Linked DNA regions of Drosophila melanogaster. The protein of the gene in region 1 binds, or shares a complex with, the protein of each later gene. Each region holds a gene or a part of one and is shown in the gene's direction. Other genes may lie near its edges.

The links.
Region 2: Nup58 (region 1) and Nup214 share a complex: the UniProt entries of both Drosophila melanogaster proteins name them as parts of the nuclear pore complex.
Region 3: Nup58 (region 1) and Nup98-96 share a complex: the UniProt entries of both Drosophila melanogaster proteins name them as parts of the nuclear pore complex.
Region 4: Nup58 (region 1) and Nup358 share a complex: the UniProt entries of both Drosophila melanogaster proteins name them as parts of the nuclear pore complex.

The regions. Positions count from the first base shown.
Region 1 is NT_033777.3:19,643,162-19,647,411, forward strand, and holds Nup58 (nucleoporin 58kD), read left to right. Parts: upstream 1-1,864; 5' UTR 1,865-2,003; coding exon 2,004-2,927; intron 2,928-2,988; coding exon 2,989-3,705; 3' UTR 3,706-3,745; downstream 3,746-4,250. Other genes in the region: Vha13 (vacuolar H[+] ATPase 13kD subunit), read right to left, coding at 347-517, 577-677, 1,045-1,126; CG6195 (uncharacterized protein), read right to left, coding at 3,809-3,970, 4,052-4,250. UniProt on the Drosophila melanogaster protein: Component of the nuclear pore complex, a complex required for the trafficking across the nuclear membrane. Together with Nup54, required for transposable element silencing regulation in ovarian follicle cells.
Region 2 is NT_033778.4:22,918,714-22,926,738, reverse strand, and holds Nup214 (nucleoporin 214kD), read left to right. Parts: upstream 1-1,996; 5' UTR 1,997-2,084; coding exon 2,085-2,120; intron 2,121-2,176; coding exon 2,177-2,315; intron 2,316-2,374; coding exon 2,375-4,107; intron 4,108-4,160; coding exon 4,161-4,342; intron 4,343-4,399; coding exon 4,400-4,741; intron 4,742-4,797; coding exon 4,798-5,993; intron 5,994-6,091; coding exon 6,092-7,574; intron 7,575-7,667; coding exon 7,668-7,692; 3' UTR 7,693-7,802; downstream 7,803-8,025. Other genes in the region: ReepA (receptor expression enhancing protein A), read right to left, coding at 1-113; CG30187 (uncharacterized protein), read left to right, coding at 7,967-8,025. UniProt on the Drosophila melanogaster protein: Part of the nuclear pore complex. Serves as a docking site in the receptor-mediated import of substrates across the nuclear pore complex including emb, RanGAP and phosphorylated Mad. Protects mbo/Nup88 from proteasomal degradation at the nuclear pore.
Region 3 is NT_033777.3:23,775,603-23,783,571, reverse strand, and holds the start of Nup98-96 (nucleoporin 98-96kD), read left to right. Parts: upstream 1-1,950; 5' UTR 1,951-2,407; coding exon 2,408-2,687; intron 2,688-2,747; coding exon 2,748-5,285; intron 5,286-5,364; coding exon 5,365-5,883; intron 5,884-5,951; coding exon 5,952-6,134; coding exon of another isoform or gene 6,135-6,154; exon of another isoform or gene 6,155-6,356; intron 6,357-6,464; coding exon 6,465-6,640; intron 6,641-6,696; coding exon 6,697-6,979; intron 6,980-7,038; coding exon 7,039-7,969. Other genes in the region: mbc (myoblast city), read right to left, coding at 1,184-1,232. UniProt on the Drosophila melanogaster protein: Part of the nuclear pore complex (NPC). Required for MAD import as part of the Nup107-160 complex and required for nuclear export of Moe probably via its association with Rae1. Plays a role in nuclear mRNA export.
Region 4 is NT_033777.3:25,247,407-25,252,355, forward strand, and holds the start of Nup358 (nucleoporin 358kD), read left to right. Parts: upstream 1-1,941; 5' UTR 1,942-2,224; coding exon 2,225-2,296; intron 2,297-2,816; coding exon 2,817-4,949. Other genes in the region: RpS27 (ribosomal protein S27), read right to left, coding at 27-32; Nup37 (nucleoporin 37kD), read left to right, coding at 557-700, 767-1,175, 1,233-1,642. UniProt on the Drosophila melanogaster protein: E3 SUMO-protein ligase. Component of the nuclear pore complex (NPC), a complex required for trafficking across the nuclear envelope.

The DNA.
Region 1 (4,250 bases):
CGCAAAAATCTTATCACGCAGCAGCTGACTGCAGTGCAGATATGAAAAATGCGAGCAGGAAGAAAGTGAGGAAAACAATTGAAACACATGACTTTTCGGATAAAACAACAACGTGTATTGGGCAGAACACAAAACAATGATAATACAATCCCGCGCGAGTGGGAGGCAAACTAATATGCTCGCTTTTTTCTACATGGAACAACAACGAATTTTCACTTTAATGTATGGAATAATAATACAGCAGTGTTTCCAGTTAGATTAACCACTATTATTACGGGTCTAAATTATGGATTAGAGTTGAACGTGGACATTGAATTTACAGCGCACAGTTTGGGGGGCCACCTCTTTACTTGTGGTTGTAGTTTTTGTGCACCTCGGGCGAGATGTTGTACACGTACTGCAGGATCTCCAGGATGAACGGGTCCTTGCGGGTCTGGATGGCCCGGTCCATGTCGGCCAGCTTAACGCGGATATCCGCATCGATCTTGGCCGCCACGCCCTCGCGACTGCCCATGTGCTGTAATCGGGGTTCACACGGTATTACATGTACATAAGTTTCCCTATGTGGCGTCTTACCTTGGCCTCGAACTCCTTGAAGGCGCGCTCGCGCTCCTGGCGGAACTTCTCGATCTCCTCGGTAGCCTCGTCCTTGGCTTGCTTCAACCTCCTTGCCTTGCCTGCGGGATTACCCAGAAATCCAGATGATCATATCAGTTCAACTTGGCAAATCAGCCCTCCGCAAGATGACCTTCCATAACTTAAAGTGCCAACTCGCACAAAAACTATTTACTGCACTTAAGTTGCAGTCTTAGTGGCCACAAACAATTTTAATTTAATTTAATTTAATTTAATTTAGTTTAATTTGATTTATATCTCGAGTTATGGAGGATTGACTTGTATTTACTTTTTTCCACCACATCATGTGACCCACACACAACGGTGATGGTGGTTATGGTAGCACGGGGGCGGGGTGGTGAAAAAATCGCAGTTACTTGTCGCCCTGCCATTTCCAATTGGATTTTTGTTTCTGAAAATGAAACTTACGTTTACGAGCCTCGGCGACCTTCTCGGCTGCCTTTTTCTCGGCAGCGAGCAACTGCTGGATTCCCTGCGTCTGGCTGGCCATAATTTCCAAACTTCTCTAATTCCTCGCCGTGGTGTATACTGTGCAAGTCGAAAAAAGCAAGTGCGACAGAATCACAATCGACGACGAACTGTGAAAAATGTCATATGACGAAGTCACACACACGCAAACTCACCACGGTGGCTAGTTGGTGTGGGTAAGCAGTGTGCCGGAAAGCTGGGTGCTGCGAAACTCTTGGAGATGGCTCGGTCGATTGCATATCGATTAGCTTAGTTGTATATTATTGTTTGGTATTGTATTGGCCAGAAGTATTAAATAATTTGACGTTTTTGTAAGCATTAACTTTCTCATTTATTCCCATCATGAATATTTTTCTTTTATAATTTTGTAAACTTTAATTCATTTTAATTTAAATGCAGCGTTTAATCTGCTTCGCACTGTAATAGTTCCGGCTGTATTTAAAGCTATTGTAAGAAATTAGTTCGTAAAAAATTCTTTATATTATTTTAAAATTGAAATACATAAAGATTAAATTTTGAAATAATTTATTCATATTAATATCTGAAGGCTATCGTTTGATATTAAATAACAACCATGTTGTAGTGGACCGAACTCACCACACCTCAGACCAAAATTAAATATTTGAAAATCACAAATCGTAACTATATGAAGCTGCAAATACTTTATATATCTTTAGCCATAGTGTATTTATTTCAATCAATTTGAATACTTTGTTGATATTTTTCCGAATAAATCTCTGCTGACTAGCTATCGATATCACCGATAGTGTCATCTCTGTCCTAGAAGTTAAACCACAGATGCTCAGGCATTAAACAAAATTAATTTCGAAATTTGTTGCAGTAAATATAGTTTAATTGTTTAAAATTCCTGTATAAATCCTTAAGAGGGGTGCCTAAAGATGTTTACGCCCACCACGAACAACGCCATTGGAGGCGCCACTGCTGCTACCGGCGCTTTTGCTTTTGGCGCGCGACCGGCGACGACGACTGCTCCGCCTCCATCCTTTGGAGCAGCCACCTCTACGCCAACCTTCGGTGCTGCTCCGGCCACCACCTCCTTGTTTGCAGCTCCCGCGGCCACACCGGCCTTTGGGGCACCAGCTGCTACGCCGGCTTTTGGAGCACCTGCGTCCACGCCTGGTTTTGGCGCCACTTCCACTGCGGCGCCGGCTTTTGGAACGGCTGCTGCCACGCCCGCTTTTGGCATACCAGCAGCAACGTCGGCTTTTGGAGCTCCAGCTGCTACGCCCGCTTTTGGAGCTGCAGCTGCCACTCCCGCTTTCGGAGCACCCGCCGCCACGCCCGCTTTTGGAGCACCCGCCGCTACATCCGCCTTTGGAGCACCAGCAGCCACAACGGCGTTTGGAGCGCCAGCTTCCACGCAAGCATCGGCCTTCGGAGCACCTGCACCAGCCGTGGGCACTGTGGCTCCCACTTTCTCCTTTGCCACCCCGGCCACAAGTGCGCCGACCACCGCGCCGCCGGCCTTTGGATTCGGCACCACCGCCACAACGGCGGCAGCTGCGATGCCAGCATCCCTCAGCTCCGGAATTGGATCGTTTTCCTTCCCCAAGCCACAGGCCACCACGGCGGCCAGCTTGAACTTTAACACAACCACGACGACGGCGACGGCACAACCCTTCAACACGGGTCTGAAACTGGGAACCACCAATGCGACGACAACCCTAGGAGGAGGAGGAATCTTTAGCAAGCCAGCGGGTCAGGCAGCTGCCCCGGCAGCATCGACTTTCGTGGGTCTGGGGGGGATCGATGTGACCGCCACGCAACCAAAGCTGGGGGACAATAAGCAAGATGGCATCAAGGTGCTGACCATGAGTCTTTCACAGAGAAACAAAATAATCATTTTATTTTCGACCACTCCAGATTAAGGAAACCCAAGTGCCCGACGAGATAATAAAAACGGTGGATGGCCTAAAAGCGTATATCAAACAGCAGAAGACCATCTCCTCTGACATTGGACGGACATCCACCTCCAAATTCACGAATGTCAGCCACGAGATCACGAACTTGAAATGGGCGCTGCAGAATATGGCCACTTTAGTTGAGGGCAGCAATCAGCAGATCCGCCTGATGCGCCAAGAGACCGTCAAGGCGATTCAATCTCTGGAGATGGCCCAACGCACGCAGGACACCCCAGCCGGCCTGCAGTTCGAGAACAATGCTCCGTTCCAGTACTTTCAGTGCCTGGTGGCGAAGTACGAGCAGGATTTGATCGCCTTTCGCCAGCAGATCGCTCTGACCGAGCGCCACATGCACGCGATCTCGAATCCGCAGAGTATTTCGCCGGATGATCTAAAGCGTGGCTTTCGCCAACTTAATGAGAGTTTCATCTCGCTGGCGGGACGCCTCCACGAGGTGCATCAGCGGGTGGAGGAGCACAAGGAGCACTACCTAAACCTCAGACGCTACCGCCTGCGAGACACCACCAACGTTTTCGAGCGGATTGACAATCCTCCGCTGCCGACGGTGGAACCTCAACGGATTAGTAGCGGTCCAACGCCCTTCTCCAACATCTCGGCTCTGATGAACAAGTCCTATGCAGCGGCGGCCAGTTCCGCCAGCAATGCGACAGGCAATTGAGAATGGCACTCTTTACAAGTTTCAATAAATCGTTATGTCGAAAGGGGCCTAGACTTTCACTTTCAGTTATAGCATAGAATATATATTTCACACGCAACAATCTTTATTTCTTCACCACCTGGATGACGTCCTCGTCGGCCATCACATGGGCAATCCCCACGCGCTGCGGCGAGTATTTCGTGGAGGTGCCCCACACCAGGGCATACTTGAACTGCGCCGCCAGCGTGCGATGGATGGCATGGCACACATGCTCCACACTGACGCCCTAAACAAGGAATATATAAGGAATTAGAGTTGCTTTACCAGGCTGAAGAAGGAATTGGATGAATGGAAAACAGTCTCTTGCCTTTCTCAGAATCAATCCATCGTCAAAGTCTGGAGGAGCGCCTGGCTTCTTTGTGTACACTCTGATGAGCTGGAGAGCTTCCCAGAGCGCCTCCATCATGTAGTCCAGATTAAGTTTCATGTTGCAACTAACCACTATCGAGTTTGGCTGGCGCGCCAAGCGGTCCACCTCCTCGATGGAGATCTGATCGATCTTGTTG
Region 2 (8,025 bases), on another chromosome or scaffold:
TCCTCGAGCGAGTAACTGCGTCCGTAGACGGTGCCCGGCGGATGACGTAGGCGGCGGAGATTAGCTGGCCGCTGGTAGAAGAGCGGCGGCTCCTGCTGATAGATTGGCCTCATGGCAACGGGGATGCATTGCCCGCAGCACGGATCGCAGATAGTTCCTGGCCGCTAGAACGCCGAGCAGAGACTGCCGTAGCTCGGCGTCTAACGCTCAGGCGAGAGGTCTATTAATAAACCCACGATCGGGTCTAGAGAGAACCAGCAACAGAGGAGCACTCAATGTTTACACGTAGGAATGCGCCGCAGTTCCGAATGTTGCGACAGAGGCGTTCAAGAAAATAGCACCTCAGTATCAAGATATTTGAATCTTTAATTTGGAAAGGATACTTTAGCGAGTAATGGGAGAAATCGCCTCGATTTAATTCCTTAGATGTAAGAACTATATATCTTGACTATGATGTTAGTTATTGATTTGAACCGATTACTAATTTCATTATCAAAAGTAAAGTCTAGTTCGAAGTTAAGATGTATTGACATAATGGAAAATGCTAACGGAGGTATTGTGTGCTTGAACAAATGAGGTGCTAGCTACTTGGCCGCGACTGTGCCACACTATGGGCAAGCGTCGAGTTGCGATCTATAAATATTGACAACAATAGCGGAGTCACAGAGAGTCGCCGGGTCGCCGACAGGCTATATCCACATGTTCTGCACCCAAATCGGGCGAGGCGAGTGCGTCGGCCTCGGGAACACAGAGACGCAGAAGCTTGGAAAGTTGCAACTCCAAATTAGGAGTTCAATCGAGGGTTACACACACAGGCCGCGCACACTCGCGCACAAGTGAACGGTACTTTGCGACAGCTGATTAATAAACAAACAATCCGGCAATCAGCGAATCGAGGAACCACGGAAATGTATAAAACTTAGAAATCAGAAGCGTGACGCCCACACAATTAGGAAACGACGACGGGCTTCGTAGGTGCTTTTCTCGCTTTCGAAGGCCGAGCTTGAAAAGTTAGTTTTGTTTTTTTTTGGGGGTCAGCAGCTGTAGCGCTCTCACTCGCACTCACACTCACTTGCGGTGGCTATGAAGTCGGGATTTGCTATAGTAGTAATCGGTTATTACTCACATTATAAGCCGCGAAAACAGGCTGCTGATCATCTTGAGCGTCGCCTGGCTGCTCTAGGGGAAAACTGTAGGGTATTTAATTAGAGTCCACTCCGTTATCCTGGCCTCCTTTCCAACCCCAATTTTCACCTGGAATTTCCTTGACTTTTCCGTAAATTATGTGATTTGGGGTACTTTATGGGCAATATCGAAATAAAATCCACAGATTTCTGTTTAAGTCGATTTAAATTTCATTTACTTTTTGGTAACTGCGATTGAATTCGAAGGATTTCGAGATTAATTGGCTACGCAATTTTTAGCACCGTGTTGCGTCGCCTGTGGATAATTGCGAATCGCCAGCTCGACCTCTACTACATGGCTTTGTGCAATCACAGTCGAAACAGCCGATGCTTTGTGCCCTGCTTTGCAAATGCATTCGCATTGCCCGCGAACAAATCGCTTTTGTTTAATTCTCAGCAAACAAAAAGAAACGCTTGTAGGACAGAGACAGACGAACAACAACAAGGCTGCTGCGCTAGCGATGTGCTGAAATTTTCGTTCTCGCACATACTGTCCAAAACAAAATACCGTCTGAAAAAATACCAACAAAGTGCAATTGCCATATGGTCAACCGCTAAGACAAGATTGGTGAATACTTAATTCAAGCTAAGTTGGTTTCTTTTAGTTAACAAGTTCATCAGTTAGTTATAGGAGAAAACTATTTTTATATAAGATTTTATCCCATTTTCTTTTTAAAGGAACATCTATGAAATTTAAATCAGATTGTATTGTATATGTTGTTGGATTTTTTGGTGGTGAGTTTTTGTGGTGAGTTTCCTGAAAGTGACCGTACTGCAAGTGGCGCGCTTTTTGCTTGCCAACGTTTCCAACGATCTCAACTTGCAGCCACACCATCGACTCGATTGGGAAATCGACAAGCCGCAAAAAATTTGGCGAAATAGGAGCGAAAACAGACAAAAATGGCGCAGAATGCACCAGACTGCGAGGACACGCAGGTAAGCACAATTGCATAGCACTGAGATGTCAAACATTCCATTGGTTTTGGTCGCAGGACTTTCAATTCAAACTGCACCACAAGATTGTTGCGTTCAAAAAATGCGGTGAGCCCCGCAGCAATGTGAACCTGCTGGCGGTCTCCAGTAGCCGGGGATTGCTCTTTGCCGGGAGTCCAACGCAGCCGGAACTCAAAGGTAATGTAGCTTGAGTTAGCTAGGCTAAATATATAAATTTATCCTGGCACTCCTTGCAGTGATTATTGTAAAGGATTTGGTCAATGCGAAGAGCACAGCCCAACAGCCGCAGGCGCGTCTGGTGCCACTGCCCAGTATTCCGAATTACATTGCCTGCAGCTCCGATGGCAACCTGCTGGCCGTGAATCACACCCAGAACGGCACCAGCCTGCTCAGCATATATGCGGTGCTATCGTTCATGACCCCTGATGTACGTCCTGTTTATAATATTCGCCTCGCCGCCGAGGATCACGTGCACGGCGTCCAGCTCCTCTGGAATCCCGTGCTGCCCAACAGCCTGGCCGTTGTTTTGAGCAACGGAGCGCTCGCGATGTATGCCCTGAAGGAGGGGGGAAACTTTGAAATGCACTCGCTGGACAAAAATCAACAAGTTAAGTGCGGCTGCTGGTCGCCCAAGGGCAAACAGATCGTTCTTGGTTTTCCCGGCGGCACGGTGAAGCAGTTCAAGCCGGATCTGACTCTGGCCAAGACGCTTTTGTGTCCTCCGAATATACATGATGCCCCCTTTGACACCATTGCTATACAGTGGCTGTCGACTTTCCAGTTTGCAGTGATCTTTCTCCAGCATGGCGAGGACTGTAGCCCCTCGCTTTACATTCTAAATGCTCCCAAGGCTGGTGCGCCCAGCTACATAAACTACTATGACATCTGCTATAGCATGAACGGCCCGAGGAATCATCAGTTCGTATTTAGCCATGTGCCCCAGTGGAATCTGCTGCTCGTAGTCTCGGCCAATGGCGTAGAGGTGGGCATCATGCGGTCAACCGAGGCCGGCGATACACCCGCTTGGCAGCAGCTTACATTGCTGGATGAGGCACGCATTGAAATGCCCCTAAGTGAGGACAAGGATGAGACCTTCCCGCTGGGCTTTGCCTTCGACACTTCTACAACGCACCAGCTGACGATAAATGAGAAGAAGCTGCAGACTATGCCCATGGTTCATGTTTTGAGTTCGGATGGAGAATTGCTCTCGTTCAACTTTCTTAATGTGCTGCCGACGGCGGTGTCTGTTTGTTCGCCACCTCCTCCAGTGGCCGATACTTCTGGGCAGTTCAAGCCGTTGAATATGCTGCTTGCTAGTGAGGAAGAAGAGCAGCCAGCTTGGGCAGCCAGTCCCTCCAAGGCTCCAGCTGCAACTCCTGCTGCTTCCTCGGACATATCCTTTGCATTTACACCGAATACCGTTACTTCAACCCCAGCTCCCTCGAAGGATAAGCAACCATCATTGTTTTCTGGCTTTGGAGCAGCTGCAGCTAAGGCACCTGCTCCGCAACTATCTTTTGGTACTGCTCCGACTTCTAGTCCGGTTTCGTTTGGTGCTCCAACTACCAATGCAGCCAAGCCAACAACACCGTTTGGTGGGTTTGGCACGCAGGCAACGACTACTGCCATGGGAAGCATGTTTTCGGCTTCAGGAGCAAATGCCTTTGGGGGAATGGCATTGAATAAACCGGCTATTGCCAGTGTGACACCCCGAACAGCGGCACCTGGGTCAACAGTACCCGCAACTCCTGCTTCTGCTCCAGCAAACAAACCACTGTACACGGTTCCTTTAACATTCACACCAGTGGACACAAAACCAGCCACTTCAGCTCCTCCACAAATCGCAGATGAAAGTCTTAAGCCTGATGACACTGAGCCTATTATCAAGGACATGATTGCCCTACAAATCGAAGCCTTTAGCAAGGATATCCAAAAGCAAAAGGAACAGACGAAGGAACTCCTCAAAGGCGTAAGTAGTGTTGGTATTACACTGCTTCATGTATTAAAGTTGTTATTCCGCAGATTGCAGCACCATCTGCTTTGAGGGCATACGCAAAGAGACTGGATGACCTCCAAGAGCTCAATGAACAAGCCAAGGATGTGGAGTTCGAGTTAGATGTACAGGGATTGCGACAGGGTCTTAATGAGGCCTATGCCATCGTAGCAGAGTGCCGCGGGAAACTGGAGATTTATAGAAAACCAGAGTGGGTAAAGGACTCTTTGAATATATAAGCTATTTAAAACCCGTAATTTTCGTTTAGGATTACGCGTTTAATGAACTCAAGCTCCTGTGATCCCTCTGGCCGTCGCATGCTAGCTCGTCTTCAGAGCTACGTGGCTGCCAATGAGGCCCAGCTGCGTCTTGCCCAGCAGCATGTCGATTTGCAGTGGGAACAGTTTCAGGATGTTGTGCGGCGCAATTCGAAGTCTCGCATGCACATGCCTTGCCTAGAGGGAATCTATCAACGACTGACAAGACTACAAAATCTAACTTCTAACCAGCGAATTGTACAGAACAACATCAAGTCCAAACTGAAGGAGCGCGGATTGCTTCAGGCCGCACTGCTCGACCAGGAGAAAAGTCGCACCCGCACCAACGAAGCGTTAGTAGAAGTTATTGTGACCTCTCTCTTTATGCGACTATAACTTTTTTATTTAGAGTGGATACATTGACCGACTCCATTCTCACGATGAGTCTTAGCCAGGTAGTGGACTCTAATGCAGCCAAGCTCACTCGAGAAAGACTACAAAAAATCCGTAATATTGTTCAGCTGCAGAAGATCAATGTTATTTGTCCCCAGCGACCAGATCGAGTGGGGCTCAAGTCGGAGGTTATTTTGGAAACGAAACGTAGGGCGGAGCAAATTAAAAGGGCAGCAGCCAAGCCTGCAACAGCCAACAAATACACCCAAGCAGCAGTCGCTCCGCCTTCACCACCAGATGTTGCACCCACGCCAGCTGTTGCACCCATGCCACAAGCAACTGTTACAGTGGCTCCTCCGCTGCCTAAACCAATGCCATCTATACCGTCCGTTGTGGAAAAGCCTGGAGTGCCCACACATCCGACAACTCCAGTGGCTACGCCATTTTCCTTCAGCCAAAGCATCCCATTTGTGAAGACATCTACTGTGACGCCAACGACAAATACTGTGACTCCTGGCGAAGCAGCCAAGCCGGGTTTATCCATTTTCGGCGGCAGTACTATTTCCAGCTTTAGTTTTGGTGGTGGTGCTGCCAAGTCGGCACTCTCATTCGGAACAGGATCGCCAGCCGTGGCAGCTCCTACACCAAAACCAAACCCGTTGTCAGCGGTCGAAAAACCAACACCCGAGCCGACTAAGCCCAAAGAGCAGAAAGCAGCAGAAAGCAAAGAATTCAAGGCGGTACAACCCGAAACAGAAGAGTCAAAAGTACCCCAAAAACCAAAGGCAGAGACGGAAAACAAATCCTTTGGATTTGGAGGATTTACAGGAACTGGAGGTACTGTCGGAAATACTTCCAGCTCCCCGTTCAGCTTTGGCGGACTGGGTTCATCTCTAGGCTTCGGAGGAACAGCCGCTGCTGTGCCAAAATCTGAACCTTCCAGCACAGCAACCACTAGTGTAGCCACATCAGCTTCAACTGCACCATTTGGCATCTTCTCAGCAGCTTTGGCGAAACCATCCAACTCTGAACCGATCACCACGGTCACTAGCAACACAACCACCATCACCAGCAAGCCTACGAATGTAATTGCTTCGAGCAGCGTAACTGATGCTCCTTCCGTCACCACAACAAATGCAGTGACCAGCAGCACGGATCCTATTGGAGGCCTCTTTAGCTCTGTGACTATCTGCAAGCCCAACACTCCTGCAGGTAAGCTATAGTTTCCTTTATCAATATACCTTACGCATAAATGTATACGCTTATTTGGCATAAACTCTAAACGGCTATATATGTCTTTTACTTTGCAGATACCACCAAACCAGCCAACATTTTTGGAGGAGGTTTATCCGCTGGTAGCTTTTCATTTGGCGGAACGATTGATGCCTCAAAGGGATTATTCGGCAGTACCAAACCAGTGGCAACAGCTCCCACAAGTGTGACGGAGGCGAACAACAAAACTGATCCTATTTCAACCACCCCATCAGCCATTTCGACTACTACTGCTACGACGACTGTGTCTAGTCCAGCAGTAGTTCCTGCGGCAGTTACCGCAGCAGTTCCGGCAACATCGAGCACAACGGTAACATCTAGCACTGCTGTTCCCGGCAGTGCGTTCTCCTTCTCAAACGCATTTAGCACCCTAAGTGCGGGAGGTGCTGCAGCTCCAACTACCAGCGCTTCAGCTCCCTTAGCTGCCAAAAGCCCAACCGCTACATCTACAGGCAATAACTCGTCGAATTCAGTGTTTGGTGGTGGCTTCGCAGTAGCAACATCAACAGCGGCTCCAGTGGCTAGTCCCTTTCAGTCAGCTGCAAAAAGTCCAGTTTCGAGTGCAAACATTTTTGGCAGTATACCTAAGGCGGAGACCAGCGTTTTCGGAGGAGCTACAACTGCTCCTTCAAACACCACGGCTGCGGCAACACCAGATGCACCACCAGCGGGTCTCTTTGCATCGGCCGCGATTAGTAACCCTTCGCCGTTTGGTAGTCCCACGACTAGAGCACCAGCCTCTGGCGGTAACATTTTTGGTCAGGCTGTTAAGCCAAGTGTCTTTGGACAACCAGCACAAGCAGGCGATAGCGGAGGATCTATTTTTGGTGGCGGATCCGCCAGTACACCTTTTGGATCCAGCTCAATTTTTGGAGGAGGTAATACGCAGGGCGCAGTCGGCGCTCCGGCTGCAGGAAGTACTTCAATTTTTGGCCAAAAAGTGTTTGGTCAATCATCAGCGGCTGCACCGGCAGCAGGTGGGAATATATTCTCCAATCCCGTCGGCAGTCCGCAAGCTTCTCCTTTTGGTGGCGGAGGAAACTCTATTTTCGGATCACCAGCAACAGCTCCGCCCGCATCTGGCGGATCGATCTTTGGGGGTGGCAGCAGCTCTGGTGGATTTGGCTCCTTCACGCAGACGACACCAGCTCAGGGGGGCTTCGGTGGTGGATTTGGCCAGGGCGGGGGTGGATCTGTGGCCCAGACAGGTTTTGGCTCACCACAAGCCCCGCAGCAGCAAACTACGACACCAGGTGGGTTTGGAGCCAAGCCCGTTTTCGGTGGATCCCCGGCCTTTGGAGCTAGCCCCACTTTTGGGGGAGGTGCCACCTTTGGCAGTCCGAAGGGTTTCGGTGGATTTGGCGGTGCCAGCCCAGTAGCCTCCCCTCCACCCTTTGGTGCTGCTGCAAAGCCGGCACAGGGAAACATTTTTGAAACGTTGGGGGGACAGGAATCGGGACTCTCTTTCGGAAATCTAGCACAGACTGGAAACTCAAATGCACAGAAACCAGCGTTTGGCGGGTAAGTTCGACCGACATACATACATATGCATACTTATATAAGTATTTCCAAGAATGCATACGACTAACGAAATATTAAATTTTACTATTTCAGATCGAGCTTTATGAATTATCGTTGAGTTCATAATAAATGTGTTGCATAACTCAATAGTTTTGCTTGTTCAGTTTTCATGAAATAAGAATACCAGTTAAAATTAAAAATCTTAAATCTTAAATCTTTATTAAAATTAAAAAAAAAAAAACTGTGTTTTTACTTCACGCGAAATGTGTGTACTGAACTTTATTTAGTATTTATAGTCTAGTATGATAAGGGTTTCTTTTTTTATGAAATACTTGCTATGGTATTATGCTCATGCTAAGGTTATCACCTATTTCATTCGAACATCTCATGAGATGCAGACACGTCTGGCTTGGATTCCCGTCATTTTTTGGTTCCTCAAAGATGTGGGTGC
Region 3 (7,969 bases), 4.1 Mb from region 1:
ATAAGACAAGAATACATCAAACTGCTATTGATAAGGAGTTTCTTTTGAATTTCGTATATGCTGTAAGTCGTTTTCGCATTACAAAGGCCAAATTCGCTACTCAATGCCAACGACTAACTTATCTGCCGCCCCATATTCCAAATATTATCGCGCTTAATTACATTATACCACCAACCACCGCTCACCACCCACTACCCCCGTCCACCTGGCCACGCCCCAATGGTACTATCAGATACTCGTACTCGCAGCGATTTCGACAGCTAGTAAACGCGCAAACACAAAAAAGGGCAGAGGCAGAGGCAAACGTGTGTAAATAACAAGTGCAAACACACCGGCAAGCTCCATTCGAGTGTTAACGAACGAGATTCCCAGTTCCACTCGATCTACCTGGGACTAGAGGTACCTGTACTTTATGTACCTGTCGTATCTATTGATCAGCGGTGAAAAGGTCAACAAAACGAGATCCATAAAAAATTCACACGCATTCGAAGCGGGTCGCGATTAGATATTTCATGGTCACTGCCATTGAATTGGGATTTGTCTCACAGTGTACACAGAAAATAAACATTTCTACTGTCAGCTTGATGCAGCTTGCCTTGGGTTTACAAAGACCAGGTTTCAAATCCCACACCCGTAAATACGTAAAAGTTGTAGTACTAATGTTGTAGTACTTCAGATTTAAGTTTATGTAAAATTACATTAATTGTATAAAATTTCTTTATGTGTACCAGGCCTTTTTTCTGGCAGTGTGTTGCAGTTGCACGTGAGAGACAGAGACAGTATGAAAAGCGAGAGAGACAATAGAAAACAGGTTTTAGTTTCAAGAGCAAATCTCAGAATTTTATGCTAGTGTTGACTGAGCAGGATGAAATGAAATGAAAAACGAAACAACACAGTGAGAGCGGGAAAGGGAGGATCAACAGCAGCCGAGTGAGCGTGTGCAAGCGAGAAGGTGCAACAAGTTTTACCGTAGCAACGCAGCAGGAGGCACACACATGCGGTGAAATAAGAGAGAGAGTTAGAGAGAGAGGTGGGGGTGGAGATGAGGTGTGCTCTGGAAAAGAGCGCCCAACAGTTCATAAAGTTTTCCTTTATTGTTGTTTACAAAGCACTTTGTTTAAACATTCCTGCCTAGCCATATTCTACCTAATTTATCGGCTTAATAGCCGCATTGCCAACTTACCAATGCCGAATTCTGCCTGCTTGGCATTGCAGTCGCTCCACACACTCATCTTGAAGGCTTTTCTTCTCGTTGTTGTTGCTTCTACTAGTGTTGTTGCTGATATTGTTGTTTTTGCGCCGACTTTTACCACCAACACGGCGACAAACGATCGCTACTCACACATGCAAAGCGATGGACTTTCGTTTGCGAAAATAAAAACAACAAGACATTAAATTAGGCAACGGCAAAAGAGCAACACGTAGTTGAAATTTTGATTTCGTTTTCACAATGCCGCCAACACAAGCATTTCGCCTCCGATTTCGCTACAGATTTCGACGAAAAGCACACCGGTTGGACAATTGCAACCAATAAATAATTATTGCACAAAAGCTAGCATTCCGCACAAATTGTCGCTCCGCAAATGCATTTTGCGCCGTTTTTCGCTCGTTTTGTTCTCGACTTGTATTTGGGCTGGGAGTTGGCCGCTGCCGCTCAGCTAATTATCACATGTACACGCACTCGATCGCACACACACTCGTGTGTGACAGTTGCCAATTAATTAAATAACCGCTCTCGGAAAACAACCCGCGCGTTTCAACTGTTTGTTGTGAATGAGCGTGCTCGATGCCCAGAAGTACCGTACTGTTCCCAATCGAAAATATCAAATATAGAGTGCCCCTTACAGCGTGTTCACACCGTTGATGTCAAATGGGTTTTCACTTTGTTCGCAGTACGGTCACATAAAAATGTGAAAATCGAGCTTACCTACAAAATACGAGAAACCCAAGTTATAAAATACATTTTCCACACATTCATAGTAAATTTGCTTCGGAGGCACCAAGCAAAAATTTTATTAAGACCATAAATAAGTTATGGTCAATAGTTATGCGCCTGGCAGTTGTATCCTGCTTTTTTACAGTGTATTTTTGCATGCGATTTCACGCCTTGGTCACACTTTTGGCTGCATTTTCTTCAACATCGTGAAAAAATCGGCGCGCCATTTCTGTCCACTTTTTGCGTCAGACTCGGTCGACTCCTGCTGACTTGACAAATTCGCGAGTGTTTATTTGTTTTAAGCTAAGCCTGTCCGGTCCCACAACCTTCGCATCCGGCGCAGCCGCCCCAGCTTGCCCAACGTGGTGAAATCGAAGCATTGCTCATCGCGATAGTTGGCATTCCGGCGAAGGACAAAGCAGGGGATCTACCTAGTATATGTTTGTTATCTGAGCAGCAGCAGCGAGCAAAATGTTTGGCGGCGCGAAACCCAGCTTCGGAGCCACTCCGGCGGCCACCAGCTTTGGCGGATTCAGCGGCACCACAACAACCACTCCGTTTGGCCAGTCGGCATTTGGCAAACCCGCCGCACCGGCCTTTGGAAACACCTCCACCTTTGCCGCCCAACCCGCGCAGCAGTCACTGTTCGGTGCGGCAGCCACACCAGCTCAGCCCGCCGGAGGCTTATTCGGGGCAAACACGTCCACGGGATTTGGAAGCACTGCCACAGCTCAGCCCACGGCTTTTGGAGGTTAGACACGATCATTTGAAGTGGTATCATGTTACTAATTTAGTAATTTCTTCTTTGCAGCCTTCTCGCAGCCGCAACAGACCTCGAACATATTTGGATCCACCCAGACGGCGGCAAGCACCTCCCTCTTTGGACAATCGACGCTACCCGCCTTTGGAGCCGCCAAGCCGACTATGACGGCCTTTGGGCAAACAGCTGCTGCTCAGCCCACGGGCTCTTTGTTTGGCCAACCGGCTGCCGCCACCAGTACAACAGGATTCGGAGGCTTTGGGACGTCGGCGCCTACAACCACCAATGTTTTTGGCAGTGGCACCGCCTCCGCCTTTGCCCAACCTCAGGCTACGGCCGTGGGAGCTTCCGGAGTCAATACGGGCACGGCCGTGGCCAAGTACCAGCCAACCATTGGTACAGATACCCTGATGAAGAGCGGTCAGGCAAATAGTGTGAACACTAAGCAGCACTGCATCACGGCTATGAAGGAGTTCGAGGGCAAATCTCTGGAGGAGCTCCGCCTGGAAGACTATATGTGCGGGCGCAAGGGTCCACAGGCTGGGAATGCTCCGGGAGCTTTTGGATTTGGAGCTCAGGTTACTCAGCCCGCTCAGCCTGCAAGTGGTGGCCTGTTTGGAAGCACTGCCCAACCAAGCACAGGTCTGTTTGGCCAAACTGTGACCGAGAATAAGAGCATGTTTGGCACCACCGCTTTTGGCCAACAACCGGCGACTAACAATGCATTCGGAGCAGCAACCCAGCAAAACAACTTTCTGCAAAAGCCCTTTGGAGCCACCACCACCACTCCGTTTGCCGCTCCCGCAGCTGACGCTTCAAATCCATTTGGGGCGAAGCCTGCTTTTGGACAGGGAGGAAGCCTCTTTGGTCAGGCACCTGCTACCAGTGCGGCTCCTGCTTTCGGACAGACTAACACAGGATTCGGAGGCTTTGGAACCACAGCCGGAGCAACGCAACAGTCAACTCTTTTTGGTGCCACACCAGCCGCCGATCCAAATAAATCAGCCTTTGGGTTGGGAACGGCTGCATCAGCAGCCACGACAGGTTTTGGATTTGGAGCTCCAGCAACAAGCACCGCCGGCGGAGGCCTTTTCGGAAACAAGCCCGCCACTAGCTTTGCTGCTCCAACTTTCGGCGCAACCTCCACGGCTAGCACTCCGTTTTCAAATTTTGGCCTGAACACCAGTACAGCAGCAACGGGAGGAGGCCTTTTTAACTCGGGATTGAACAAGCCAGCAACGTCCGGATTCGGAGGTTTTGGAGCCACCAGCGCAGCACCACTTAATTTCAACGCAGGCAACACGGGCGGATCACTTTTCGGAAATACAGCCAAGCCGGGAGGAGGTCTTTTTGGAGGAGGTACTACAACCTTGGGTGGCACGGGTGCTGCCCCAACGGGAGGACTGTTTGGAGGAGGAACTACCAGTTTCGGAGGTGTCGGTGGTTCCTTGGGCGGAGGAGGCTTCGGTATGGGTACAAACAACTCGTTAACTGGTGGTATTATGGGAGCTCAGCCCACACTGGGTATCATGACGCCTTCACACCAGCCCATTCATCAGCAGATCCTAGCTAGGGTAACTTCTCCCTACGGAGACTCTCCGATTTTCAAGGATCTAAAGCTAAGCAGTGAAGCAGATGCAACAAGAGCTACAAATCCTGCTGCCCAACAAGCAGTTCTGGACCTGACCAGCAACCAGTACAAGATAAGTACCAGCAACAATCCTGCTCCAATGAAGGTAAAGGCGCTGGGCAGCACACTTAATAGAAAATCGCTGTTTGATGGTCTCGAGGAGTTTGATGCTTCTGTAGAGGGCTTCAATCTGAAGCCCAGTGCTAAACGATTAGTTATCAAACCCAAAGTAAAAAGTGTAGAGGGTGGAAATCCCTCTAGCTCTATTGGCAGTGCTCCCAACACGCCCCAATCTCGACCCAAAGGCGCAACTCCCAACAAAGAACGCGAGTCGTTTAGCGGAGCCATTCCAAGTGAGCCGCTACCACCAGCTGGAAACTCGCCTGGAGCAACGAATGGACGGGAAAGTCAGGATAACGGCCGCCGTGAGTCATGGCTGCATCCTAACAACCTTGAGAAGGTACGCCAGCACAACATTCAGACTGGAATGGATCAGGGATCGCCCCATAACAGCACCCTCAACGAGCTTGTGCCACGTAAACCTTTAGATACATACCGACCATCCTCCACCGTTCGCCTCTCGGTGTCAACCATCCCAGAGAATCCATTTGAGGATCAATCCAGCACCATTGCACGTCGCGAAACCTTCACTTCGCAGCAGGCCAATGAGAGTGTGCTTTCGAACAGATCTAATGAGGCAGAGGACTCTGCAGCAAACCAATCCCGCCTAGCCATTGAGGCAGCTGCTGCAGAGGCAGCAGACGACGAATCACATCCAACAGGCATTGTGCTGCGACGCGTGGGTTACTATACAATTCCATCGCTAGACGACCTACGCTCCTATCTGGCCGAGGACGGATCCTGTGTGGTTCCGAACTTTACGGTGGGTCGGGAAGGATACGGCAATGTCTTCTTCGGCAAGGAAATGGATGTGGCTGGCCTGAACCTCGATGAGATTGGTAAGAGTCTTGTGTTTTTTTATAACCGTTTGTGTTTGCTCTCATACATTTATTTAATGCAAAACAATTTGTATCACAGTCCACTTTCGCAACAAGGAGATTATCATTTATCCCGACGACGAAAACAAGCCGCCCATTGGTCAAGGTCTAAACCGTGACGCCCAGGTCACTTTGGACCAAGTATGGCCGTTGGACAAGACCAAGCACGAAGCCATCAAGGACCCACAACGCTTGCTTGAGATGGACTGGGAGGGCAAGTTGCGCCGGGTGTGCGATAAAAACGATACGCGCTTTATAGAATACCGCCCGGAAACGGGTAGTTGGGTCTTCCGCGTCAAGCACTTTTCTAAATATGGCCTGGGAGACAGCGACGAAGAGGACGAGTTGCCCACTGACCCGAAAAAAGCCAAAATTGCAACGCTTGAGGCTCAGCAGCGGGCAAACGCAGAAAAGATGACGCTCAATTCGCTGCGCCAAGCGCAGAAGATTTCAGAAGATGCAGCCCGTAACTTGGACCCAAAAGCCTTGGTCGCAGGTGTTGCCAGCGGATTCAGGCCAATGGATGATACCGCCGAGTTCCTTTTAATGGACAAAACACGTACGTCTAAAGTCCATTTTAAAAGGTTTAGTTTCATTAATTGTAATTTACTTAATTTTAATTCGCAGAATTTTTCCAAGCTGGTGGCAACTCCGATTTCTCCATGTTTGATCCACCGCGTCAACGTCCAACGATTACCAGTCCCACAGCTGTTTTGGCTCAGGAAATGGTAGGCAACGAGGCGCACAAAATGCAGCTAATGAAGTCATCCTTCTTTGTGGAGGACAATGCTCCCGAGGACGAACCCATGGGTAGGTGGATAATCTCTTGATGGTCTTTCAAATTGCTTACAGTAAAAGATATGTAGATGTTTAAATGTTAATCGTTAGTTTTGAGCAAATATGTATTGTTAATTATCAACGATATTTAATGATTTTTGATCGTTGCAAAAAGTATTATATATATATATTTATGTTTAAAAAGGTAGCACAAATTATAAAGTTAATAAAGCTTTCAAATGTGTTAGTAAATCCAATTCATTTTGCCTGCTTTGGCAACAATTCATTATAATTACAACAATTCACTGCTTATCATCCCACACGGCCACTATACATTTGAAAATTACTCATAAATTTCTACAGAGACTACGGGGCGTCTTCTTCGTCATCGCAAGTTTTTCAACGTGGAACCTCTTGTTTGGAAAGATGGTGCCTCCGAGAGTTCCAGTCAGTACGATTTTGAACACCCATCGCCCGCTCTGCCGATTTCTTCCTCCGTCTCTGAGGCCAGCCTGATGTGTGATGCACATTATGAGGAGGTATATCGACGTAACCTTTTACTTTGAAGCCCAATAAACATCCTGATCAATTTCAGACATCGTCGATGGCAACTGGAAGCATTGTTGCAGCTGTAAAAGAAACGAAGTTTGAAATGCCTGTCACTAAAGCCTTCAAGTTTGTCTGTAAGCCCAAAGTGGCTCCGATTAAGTTGCGTGCCACCACGGTTCCCCTACCCAGGTCCATCGCTTATGAGATGCGCGATAATTGGATCGCCGATTTGGGATTCTACAAAGGACGCAGCTTTAAGCTCAGTTTTGGTCCACAAAACTCATTGGTACTGCCAAGCACCTATAATAACATGCAAAACCTAAAAGAATGTAAGAATATCTGAAACAAGCTGTAGCAGTCCAATTATAATAATTTCCCTTTGCTTCAGTTACTGGACCATCCCTGCCCGTCTCCATGGTATTTGCGCCGCGCTCGGCCACCGATTTGTCGCCCAGTGTAATGCAGTTGGTGGAGTTTAACATGGTCAAAGGCAACGAGGGTTTTCGAGAAAGTATCATTCCCCATCTCGAAGTTCAGCTTAACGACTGCCTCTCAGTTAATGTGGAGGGTAGTGAGTGCCCGTGTATACATCCCGATAGCGGTACGAAACTAGTTTCCAAGCACTTCTCCGAGTCTCTTAAGCAGAGAAATGCTGGCTTAAAAGAGGACTATAGCGTGTCAGTGTGGTCGCTTTTATTCGCACTATGGGGCGATCACGATGAACTGGTGGACCTGGAAAAGAACTCTCATTACATGGTCATGTGTCGGCGCAATCTGCTATCCGAGTGGCTTGAGAACACGCTGCTGGGCAAAGATCTACTCTCGAAAAAAGTTAGCACCCACAGCTACCTGGAGCACATGTTGGATTTACTTAGCTGCCATCGCGTAAATGAGGCTTGTGAGCTGGCCTTCAGCTACGATGATGCTAATCTGGCTCTTGTGCTGTCCCAATTAAGTTCCGGAGCTGTCTTCCGGCTATTAATGGAGGAGCAGCTCTTTGCCTGGCAGCAGAGCAAGTCGGATAAGTATATCGATCTGGAGCGCCTTAAGATGTACATGCTGGCCGCCGGAGCGCCAATGATGCAGTCTTCACATGGGGCCATCAACTTACTCGAGAATAAAAACTGGCTGACAGCACTGGCCCTGCAGCTATGGTATTTCACAGCCCCAACATCGTCTATCACCGATGCACTCAATGCTTATAACGACGCCTTCCAAGCGGAAGAGTGCTATGCGGAGCCCCCAAAGCCCAGCTACAGGGACGCACCTACTGACACCAAGAAGCCCGTCTACGATTTGCGCTACCACTTGCTCCAGTT
Region 4 (4,949 bases), 5.6 Mb from region 1:
CAATTTTAACGCAATTCGGAACCCACCGGCATGTTTTTTCTTTCACAGCTAACACGGAAAAGGAAGTGGGGTAAATCGCAGCCAACTTAACTTGCCCGAGAATGCACTAAATAATGCTGAACAGCTGGGCGATGGCAACTCTGCTGCTCACGCTTTCCAATACTGGAGTGTGTGTTGCTTGAGTTCAAAATTTATTCTGACTTTATTCGTGTATTAGCAATAAATTTTATAAAAAGCAAACGCTACACAGTCGATATTAGGCATTACTACTATTACTATCATTAAAAAGTTCGCCGACGTATGACTACTTAAATATTGTTATGTTTCTTTTTAAGACTAGCCATTTTTATTAAAACTTGAGGCACAATAATGTAAGCATTAAACATAATAACGAATATATTTTCGAATAACATTTCTTTGCGTATTCTGTTTTTTAAAAGTGTAAAATCTTGGAAAATTCTTCCACTGATTTTTGGTCATACTAAAATAAACATTTTTTTGGCGCCGGCTAATTGTTGCATATATCCCGCGAATAACAAACAATATTTATAGAAAGATGCGATCTGTCATCGAGCCCGACCACAGCATCCAGCTTAATGAAGCCATCTACTGCTACGATATATGCACCAATGACTTTGCCTACAACCTAATCGCAGTGGCCTTCAGGAAACACTTGAGTCTGCTGCTCGTTGGACTGCCGGTGGGTTTCCATGCATAAGACCAGTGAAGGTTGAATGATTTTGAATGGTTAACCCTTAATCCGCAGGAGGAGAGCGGCGAGTTCGGGTACACACGCCTGCAGGACATGGACCTGGGCGAAAAGGAGCAGCGGAGCGTGAGCGCACTGGCCTTCTCGCCGGACACCTCGCTCAACTGCACGCCCAACAATGTGACTTTGTGCGCGGCCAACGGCAGCCAGCTTAAACTATACCGCACCGATCTGGGCCAGTTCACCTCGCTCCAGGTGCTCCGTGGGCATGGGGACTACGTCAACGATGTATCCTGGGTTTGCGACGGCGAACTGCTGGCCTCCGTTAGCGATGACTTCACCTGCAGATTCTGGACGACGACAGGCGGCGGGGAGAATGTCATAACCTTTGGCCTGTCCTCCGCTGGAATGTCCGTCAAGAGTCACCCCGAGGATCCCAACAAGGTTCTTGTGGCGGAAAAGAAGGGTGTGCTTGCTATTACCAGTGTTTAGCCCGCGGTGTAACTAAGGAAACTCCTTGCAGGCATCATTCATCTATACAATGTGACGCTCAAGCAGACAGTCATCTCCGTGGAGTCGCCCAAATTCCCCCTGATGTCGGCGGACTGGGCCCACAGCAACCGGCTCTTCATCACCTCGCTGGCCGGCGGAGATGTGGTTACCTGGGACCTGAACCGACCCTATGTGCCCGCGGATGTCAAGCAGGTCCACGAGGATTGCGGCCGGGTGGTGCGCTTCGCGCCAGGCAGCTCCGAGATGGTTATCGCCATGGTCATCGGGCTGACTCTCAAAGTGTTCGCGGCCAAGTCGACCGTTCCTCTGCTGGAGGCCTCCCTGAAATCCTATGGGGGAATGGCCTGGCACCAGCGATTGCCGTACATTAGTGCGGTTTCCGATAGGAAACTGCTCTTCTGGAAAGTGCAAATGAAGTAATTTATATAAAATTGTATGAATAATAAATAAAAGAATATAAAAAATATGATATAAAAAAGATTTATCAGAAGAATATCAATGATCTACACTCTATTTCTATATTTATATTTCATAATTTCGTTAAACTATCATAAGTTTTATATTATTCTTGAACCTTCTTTAATTTATTTATTAAATCCCTTATACTTATTTGTTTGTTCGAAAAAAAATCGTAGCAATCGATAGTTGCTATAGTCATTAAAACATCGGTGACGCGATATATTCGCGCCCATCGATGAAAACGCGTAGTCATCGTTTTTTGTTCCAGCACTAAGTTTGCACAAATTTTTTGGTTTCCGTGCTGTTCAGCTTAAGTTTTAATTGGAATTTAGTGATATTTACGTTCCAATCTACACCGCAAACGAGTGCAGTTTGTTGCGACTGGAATTGCCCATCCGAATCTACGTGATTTTCCGGCCGGGGCAATTAACCGTTCGAGGAATCTGCTTCAATCGGATGACGAGTGAAGAAGAATCTAACGCGAAGCACATTTTTGCAAGGTCTCGTCCACTGCAAATTGGACGTGTTTAAAAAAGTACAGATATGTTTACAACGCGAAAAGAAGTGGACGCACACGTCCACAAAATGTTGGGAAAACTTCAGCCGGGAAGAGAGGTAAATAAACGGCCAAAGTGTGCATCGGAATTTCCAAAAAGAAAATCATTGCGAAATCTTCAGGCGCCGCCATTGAAAGCACACCGTTGTGTGCGTGCGGCGTCTGCTTGTGTTTGTGTGTGTGAGTCGGCGTCACTTGGCCGTCGTTTTTGAGATTGAATAAGAAATTGCGCGCTTTTCTTTCAACGGCTGCATTTCATATACTTGACAAATAGAACGCTTTTTTCGCAGCTGCATGGCTTTCGCCTTCTCTGTATAAATCAAATTAGATATTTGAGGTTATGTGTACCATATCAATCTGCTAGAGTGAGCGCTGAATTTGTAAGACCGCCAAAAATAATTCGAATTTCCATTGTGGATTTGAATGATTTTTTGCGGTCTAACGTAGCTCTATCTAAATAATAAGCACACAATAAGTCAAATCTTACAAAGTTATTCTTATCCAGCTCACAGTGATTGTCTAAAAATTTAACAGACTTTTTTGAACCTAACGTACTAATCAATAAAATGTATATTGTAGCGCGATATCAAAGGCTTGGCTGTAGCTCGATTGTACATGAAAGTTCAGGAATACCCAAAAGCCATCGAGTATTTGAACGGCTATCTCCGGGTGAGGGACGACGCTGTAGGCCATAACATGATTGCCACTTGCTACAGTAGGCTGAACCCGCCCGATGTGACAGAGGCCCTGCAGCACTACCAACGTTCTATTCAAATTGATCCGCGTCAGTCAGAGGTTGTCATTGACGCCTGCGAACTTCTGGTGAAGGAGAACAACGCATCGATCACGGAGTGCGCCAGGTACTGGTTGGATCAGGCTAATAGCCTTGATTTAAGCGGCAACAAGCAAGTCTTCAACCTGCGAATGCGTGTAAATCTTGCGGACAGTAACGGCGAAAGAGATGACACCAGTGGCGGAGACGGCGAGCAAAATACCCTCGAGATTCTTATGTACAAGGAGCTGCAGGCGCGTCCCCAGGATGTTAATATACGCATACAACTGCTGCGCAGCTATGTTGAAAAAATGAAAATAGACCAGGCCTTCAACTATGCTCTAAAAACGGAACTGGAGTCGAAAAACTGCACGAGCCAGTCGAACGAATGGTACGAGCAGATCTGGATGGTCCTTTTCAAGATAGAAATGGCCAAGGATGTAAAGAAGAACTGGCGATTTTGGCACTTCGCCTTGCACACTCTCGATCGTCTCGTGCAGCTAAGCCTGGAGGGCAGTGGACTGGCAGACAGCAGCAAGCAGTTGTTCAGACTTGATCAATATCTATTCAAGTTTAGCACTTCGATAGAGAGGTCAGGGGACGCTCCGCAGCGGGATCTCCACCAGGCTTGTATTGACCACTTTACCGGCCAGCTTCTGCTTCACGCGGTGACACTGATTTTCAAACGTGAGGTTCTGGCAAACAAAAACAAATGGATGAGCACGCTTCGCTCCGCTTTGCCACTTCTGCTCCTTGGTTACCAGGTGCGACCGATCGATGATTCGAGTACCAACCAATGGATAAAACACTGCGACGCGGAACAGAAGCAGTTGATACAGATGTGGCGCCCTCAGGGCGCCTTTCGATGTGCCCAGCTTGGACGAACCCTTTTGGGCTGCTTGGACCGGTCACAAATGGAAATTAAAAACGATAGAGAAAATGCCGAGTTTGATGAGAATAAGAATTCGGGAAATTCTATGCCGGGATTATTTGCCGACTCCGAAGAGCTGTTGGCCAGCGCTCACCAGCAATGCTTGGACAAGAGCTGGCGAAGTCAAATTTACCAACAGCTCTTTACCCACGCCGAACACAAGCTAAAGGATACGTCTTCGCATCTGGTGCGGAACCTGCGTCTGCAGCTGCCTCTTTTTGAGTGGCCGAATCTGGCGCATATCGAGAACTACGAACTGCAAGCGTTGGTGCTGCCGCCACACTCCTTAGCCCAACATGTCTACCTGGCTCTGGGCACCGACCCGAACAAACTTGGAGATGCGCCACGCGTGGTCTTTTATGAGGGTTTCCAACGGGATGTTAAGCAGAATCTAAACTACTGTGGGCAAGATTCAATCAGCCAGGTAGATGTGGACCTCTACCTTTATGCCACAACCATTCAGACCAGACGTAAATTGCAAATCCAGCGTGAGGTGTATGACTCCTCCAATTTGGGAAACCGCAATGCTGCCGCCCGGCCACATATGATGCCATTTGCCAATCTAGTGGGTCAACTAGGCGCACCGGAGCAAAGTAACTGGTGGGATCTGGTGGTGCGACTTAACTCGAACCAGCTTATCACTGAAGGCAATCGCGCCGAGCAACGAGCTCAACTACAACATGGATTGGAAGCGGTGCGCGGCGTTAATGGCCCAAAAGCAGATGCCATCATCATTTTTCAATTGGGAAAGATTTTAAATTCCCGATCGGATCGTTCTTCTCTAGAAGCGCGTATCGATACCCTGTACAGGCAAGGATTTTCAATTTTACGCCACCAACACAACCAGCAGATGGAATCCTATGTCCGCGTCTTTAAGTACGGATCCGCCGGCTCAACGGCAGCATGGCAAGATCTTCAGTCGTTGGCTGAGGAAGCCGTCACCTATTTTAGCGAGAAAATGTTTAGGATTGGACAGTATGAGCAGTTTTTGGACGAGGTCCGGGGACTT